Linked DNA regions of Ovis aries. The protein of the gene in region 2 purifies or fractionates together with the protein of the main gene of each other region. This does not show direct contact. Links are inferred from orthologs where the notes say so. Each region holds a gene or a part of one and is shown on either strand. Other genes may lie near its edges.

What was found. The genes of interacting proteins can lie anywhere in the genome.
Region 1: the proteins of ZFYVE27 (region 2) and VAPA purify together in Homo sapiens (co-immunoprecipitation; 3 studies listed by BioGRID and IntAct, counting the BioPlex papers as one, with this or other methods). This does not show direct contact. The link is inferred for Ovis aries from reciprocal best matches to the Homo sapiens genes ZFYVE27 and VAPA.

What each region holds. Positions count from the first base shown.
Region 1 is NC_056076.1:42,439,767-42,442,463, reverse strand, and holds part of VAPA (vesicle-associated membrane protein-associated protein A), read right to left. Parts: intron 729-2,697; coding exon 555-728; intron 1-554. UniProt on the Homo sapiens protein: Endoplasmic reticulum (ER)-anchored protein that mediates the formation of contact sites between the ER and endosomes via interaction with FFAT motif-containing proteins such as STARD3 or WDR44.
Region 2 is NC_056075.1:18,731,770-18,735,420, reverse strand, and holds part of ZFYVE27 (protrudin), read right to left. Parts: intron 3,287-3,651; coding exon 3,215-3,286; intron 2,033-3,214; coding exon 2,012-2,032; intron 1,860-2,011; coding exon 1,715-1,859; intron 1-1,714. UniProt on the Homo sapiens protein: Key regulator of RAB11-dependent vesicular trafficking during neurite extension through polarized membrane transport. Promotes axonal elongation and contributes to the establishment of neuronal cell polarity.

The sequences.
Region 1 (2,697 bases), on a different chromosome or scaffold from region 2:
CCCCTTACAACTGGATGGAGCTGTGTGTGGTTGTGAAACAGAGGGCATCTCTCCACCCTCCAGGTAGGTGTTCAGGGCAGGGGCCTTGGAGAGGGGCTTGGGAGAGGAAGAAACAGCCAGAAAAACCATCTCAGCACAGGTCAAGCCACCTCACAGGGGCCTTCAATGGGAGCCATGCACGAAATTTAAAATTTTCTAAGCCCATTAAAAAGGTACTAAACTTGATAAAATTAGCTTTAATAATGTATCTTTTACTGAATCTAATAGAATTCAATATTATTTCAACATAACAATACAAAACAGGGATTTTTCTTGCACTATGTGACTCACAGCACATCTTAATTCTGACTAAGCACACCTTGGTGGCCCGCCCTGGACAACGGGGGCCCCCTCGCAGGGACTGCACTGCTGCTGCAGCCGATAATGCCAGGCCCGGGCGCGGAGGCTGCACCAGCGAGTGAGGAAGCAGCCAGGGCACGCCAGCCCCCAGCGTCCAGGCCAAGGGCGAGAGGGGCGCCGAGGCCGCTGCACAGTGGGGCCAGGCGGGCACTCACCCTCAGGAGTCGGTTCTCTTCTGACAGCTTCATCATCTCCCCCTGCAGCCGCTTGCACTCCTCCACGAGCTTCCTCGTCTCGGTGTCACTGAGGGAGACACTGTGCGGCTTTGGCGCGGGCCCGTCCTGCTTCGCAGCGTTCAGCGGAATGGCTTTGCTGGGTTCCATGTCGTTCTGCATCACAAAGGTAGCAGGCAGGGAGTTCGTCAACTGACAACTCTCCTTAATAGTTTTAAACAAAACTTAAAACTCCACATCCCTGTCCAAGAAATTATTTACACAGAAAGTTCTGACAGGTTTCAATTTCATTATTAAAGTTTTTAAAATGTCCAACATCTGGTCCCCAGTGACCAGCTCTACAGGACAACAGTGAGCATGAGTGGTCACCAAGGTCCGAACACATGGTTCCCTGCTCTGCATCCACCTCCCACCCCAGAGCAGCGAGCATGCAGCTCACATCGTCCTCCAAGATTCTTCCCTACAACACCTCAAAGTCTGGGAGAGCAAGAGTCACTCGTCTGTGCGTTCACCCCTAAAACCCAGCACCCCAGCCAGTGGTCACTCAACAAGGACACTGAGGGATGCCTGCCCGGATCCATAAAGTTCACAGTCAGTGCTGATTCTGCAGCCCAAGCAAGGTGCCGGAGGGCAGGGGGACACGGTCGAAACCACTCAAATGAAATCAGACCACCTAAGAGAAATGCATGAGAGAAAACCCAAGTTCTGTTCACAGAAAAGTCATTGGAGGACCTGGAGCCTGAAGGGGAGATAATGAGCACAAACACATGTCATGGGGAAAAAGCAGGCAGGGAGAGTCCACCTGACAACTGCGCTCAAACATGAGTGACCCCCCCGTTTATGAAGTAACACTCCCTGCTGTCAGTCATGAAATTCAGTGCAGAGCCAACGTGGTGCTCTGGCACTTTAAATTACAAGCCCCATGTCTTAAGTCCGGCCAGCATTGACCCATGTGACCCGGCGGGCCCCCAGGTGCCCTGAACCTCCTCTCCACCTTCAAGCACCCCAACAGGACTAGCACAGCAAGTCTTGTCTTCAATTAAAATTTTACTTGCTAAAAATTTAACTTTTCAGATAGCAAGGTATAAACTGCTTCAGATATAAAATTCTACCAAAAACATTTTCAAAATCAACTTTATGGCAGGTTCCACAGTACTCATCAGAGGATTTAATTACAGTCAACACCTGCCACAGCATCCCAGTTCTGGAATTCACACTGAGTACAAATGGGGACAAGATGTACTTCCTATGAAGGGGTTGTGCTCTGATTGCTATGTCTAGATCCATGTAAAAATGAACACCACTGATCATACTGAGGTCCCAGTCAACACTCAGATCCCCATCTCTCTCCAAAGCATCCCCGCCAGGCCGGGTACAAGAAGCTTGCTTCATGATCCTCTCTGCTTCCGTGCGAGCCTCCTTCTCCCCTCTCTTCCTTCCCAGCCAAGCCCCTCAGGTCTGCTAAAAATCCTGTTTCAGATGCTGGTACCCTCCACCAATAGCTTCTCTCTTCCTTTCCTTCACAGTCACTAGAGTTCACTTCGGCACGGCTTCCCAAGTGACTTCTCACTTTCCACCTAGAAGCAGCCCAGCGTCTGGGAACCAGGATGGCACACGGCCTTCTTTCCTTCGTGAAGACAAACGGTCCACAATACCACAACTCTGCACACTCCCGGTCTGGGGAAAGAGTATCACCCTCGTGCCAGAAAACTGACTAAGAAATTAAGAGGAGATACAAAAGGTCAACCAAGCAAAGACAAAATGAGCACGAGGACTCATCAAATTCTTCCCAAATGGCTTTTTATTTTTGAACAAATTTTTGAAATTCTAGAAAATTGAGAATATGAGAGAGGAAATTACCTCCCATTCTCTCATTAATTCAACATAACTATTATTCCCATATTATCTTCCAATATTCTTTCATATGCATGTTTTATAAACTCAGCATACATGTAACTTTTAAATCTTTCTTTATTCATTTATATGTACATCTTTTAAGTGTCATTCTAAACGACATGATGTCACTAAATACTATTCTGTGCCTTACCTAAGTTACTTAAACATTTCACTCTTATTAACATCTGATGGGAAGCTACCACTCTGGGATTTTAAATACCACGTCAAC
Region 2 (3,651 bases):
GGGGCTTCTGAAACCTGGCTGCTTCTAAGGACTAAGTGAGACGGCGTACGTGAAAGCGCACTGGACGCAGAGCAATCGGCAGCAGTCGGCAACCATCACAAGTAAAAGGAAGGGATCCTGAAGGCCTGGAGGCATTTGCAGAGCAGAAAGAAACAGGGTGTCCCAGGATGTCTACCGCTCAGGAAACAACTGCCCTGGTCGCTGCGGGAGCAGGAAGGCAGGCCCTGGAGCGCCCAGGTTAAATACCTCACGATAAACCCCACGGGCTTCCTCAGGACTCTCTCCCACCAGATCTCATGGCACAGCCAGCCCACCCTCCTCCCTGTCTGCTGACAGCAGGCAGAAGCCAGGCTCTGCTCCAGGACCAGGGAGAGCCCTGAGCCTCCAGTTCTCCAGGCTCCAGTCCCTGTCTGCTGACAACAGGCAGAAGCCAGGCTCTGCTCCAGGACCAGGGAGAGCCCTGAGCCTCCGGTTCTCCAGGCTCCAGCTATAGCTTCATCCGGCTTGGCTCCCGCTCTCCTGATCAGAGCCAGGCTTCCAAGCTGGTTAATCAGCTCAGTTATGTCTGATTCTTTGCAACTTCATGGACCAGAGCCCTCCTGGCTCCTCTGTCCACAGGATTTCCCAGGCAAGAATCTTGGAGTGGGTTGCCACTTCCATCTCCAGGGGACTCTCAAACCTGGGTCTCCTGCATTGCAGACAGATTCTTCACCATCTGTGCCACCAGGGAAGTCCCTCCAAACTGTGAGGACAATCAAGTCCACGCTTCTCCAAGGTCACACTCTTGGTGTGTATAAGGTCAGTATAATGAGGACTGGCCAATCTACGGACTTGGCTGGGGAGAAGGGGAGCCGGGGCTCTATCATCCCCAGAAGACAGTGTTTCCTTCCATTTGCTTCCAATCGGACTGGGAAGATCCAGACAAGTGCCTAGGCACCTGAGGGGAAGACCAGGGCCTCCCGTGATAACAGCGCCCCTTATGAAGCCCTTACTATGAACCAGCCAGCAATGTGCCAGCACTTCATAAGCATTCTCTCTTTTGAGACCTACAGCAACCCTGTGAGACAGGAACTTGTACTATTCTTTTCAGTCATTGTTTATTCGCTCAGTCGCATCTGACTCTCTGCAACCCCATGGACTACAGCATACCAGACTTCCCCGTCCTTCACCATTTCCCAGAGTTTGCTAACATTCACGTCCACTAAGTTGGTGATGCCATCCAACCATCTCATTCCCTGCCACCCCCTTCTTTTGCCTTCAACCTTTTCCAGCATCAGGGTCTTTTCTAATAAGTCGGCTCTTTGCATCAGGTGGCCAAAGTATTGGAGCTTCAGCGTCAGTCCCCTTTTACAGCAGGAAAGCTGAGGCAGGGGGAAGTTAAATAATTTGCTTAAGGCCACCTGGCAGCACTGGGGTTCACCTAGACACTCAGACTCCTCACTCAACCAGCACGCTCCACAGCCCGCCGTGGCTCTGCCTGCCTCAAGACCACACTGCCCTGTGGTCCCAGAGGAGCGCTTCCAGAACTGAACTCATCTTCCCACAAGAAGTAATGAGGACAGAGACACAAGAAGGAGCCCACACTCCCTCCCTCGCAGCCCCGCTGTGCCTGTGCCACCTCCCTAGGGTGCCATGGACACAGCTCTGCTCCTCAGAACACAGCACCTCTGCCCCGTGGCCAGGATACCTCCAACCCGCCAGCCCCCAGCCATACCAAAGTTGTTGGTCGGGTACCGCTTGCGGAGCCGCTCAGTGAGCCGCGACACCTTGCTGCGCAGCACCTCGTTCTTGCTCAGGAAGCCGTTGTCCTGCAGGACCAGCTCGTCCTCTGCCGGGCACGGGGCCCCCTCGTCATCCTCCTGCGGGAACAGCTCCTTCCAGTCCTGTCCCCTCGTGACAGGGCTCTGGGACCTGCATGTGTGGCGAACCCCGCGAGGCATAGCGACCTTGGCTCAGCCACCCATCCTCAACCCCCTCGGCCCCTGCCTACCTCACCAAGGCTCCTACTTACCAGCACCACCAAGTGGGTCTCCTGCCTCCCAAGGTGCCGGGGGAGAAGAAAAGAAAACAGAGAGAAGATAGCAAGAAGGAAGCTGCCGGGAGGGGATCCCCAAGCGAGAGGAAGCACAGGAATGCTACTACACTGACTCTGGGCACGTACTGAAGGGCGATGTTAACAGAGACCCCGTCAAGGATCCCAACATCAGTCAGCTGGGGAGAAGCTGCGTACTCAAGAGTCATGACTTAGGAGTCCACAGTCGCACATTCAGGTTTTGGAGAAACCTCAGCAGTAGAAAATGGAAACGTCCACGCAGATGTGGCTACAGTAACAGCAGACAGCTGGGTGAAAACCGTAGGCCTGGAGCAAACTCCCGAGACCTCCATTTCCTGTATCCCCCACTTTACAAGAGTCATAAAAAGAAGTGAACTCCTACTGTTTAAGAAAAGCCATAGAGCAAACATGACACTAAATGGCAAACGCCGCCAGGACTCAGTGGCCGGGGATGACAGGAACTGGTGGGGTAGTGTGACTTCTCTGAAGCAGACAGTCTCTCCTCAGCTACACTGACCGCTGCAGACTCAGGGCTCCCAGAGCTGCTGAGTTTTTAGAAAAACTGAAAAATCCAGAGTTTTTACTATAGTCTCTCCAATTTTTAAATATCGGCTAAAAAATTAAAGCTTTGCATGCCAAATAAAACACTTCTGCAAACTACCAGTGTGAACCATTGTCCTAAAACCAGGCAGACTGTTGAACTTTCTCCAACCCAGCACTTGGCCATGCAACTGCTTTCTCCAGCCTCCCATTCTCACCCCTCAAAGGGACATCTGACGGACCTCATCGTTTAGAAGAGCAGGCAGAGTCCGGGACGATGCCCTCCTCCAACTCTGCCTTCCCCACATCAAAGGTGCCAGGCCCACAGTCTCCAGTCAAGGCAGTAAACGACCCACCTCCCTAGCAGGGCGTTTCCCAGAGGCCTCCAGAGCCACCCCCTCCCTGGGCACCCAGGACAGACGCCAAGGTCAGCAAGAGGACGGGCAGAGGTTCAGTGGCATCCTTTCAACCAGTGAGTCTGAGCGCAGGGTACATTTCACCCTCTCACTTGGATACAAGAGAACTCTAAAAACCCAGACTTGGAATGAGAGAGGCCACATGGCTCCAGGACCACCCAACTTCTGACCTGGTCAGCTGGGGGTGCTGGGGAAGGCCACCCACCTCAATCGCATCTTTAAACTCCTCGTCGGGCTCGGCCTCCTCCGCCTCCTCCACACTGCCTGGCGTGAGGTCCTGGGAAGAGAGATCCTTCAACGGTCAGAGCAATGACCGCCCTGCCCCCAGGGGAGAGGCCACCTCCCCAGAGCCAGCACCCAGGTTTCTCAAAACAGCAGTTCATGCCTCAGAGGAAACGGCACACCTGCGGCAAGAAGGAAGTCAGGGGAAAGAGAGCGGTCTCCAACTGAGCAGGACAGAGAGGGACCACGGCCACGAAAGGACCGACGCTGGCTGCAGAGCATGGTGCTTCAGAGCAGGAGCTCTGGAGCCACGGGGCGGGGTCTGACTCCCAACCCCGCCGACTGCGGACAGCCACTCTGTGCCTCGGCCTTCTCTGCTGCAAGGAGAGTAACCTCATTCTCAGAAACATCCTGCACCTC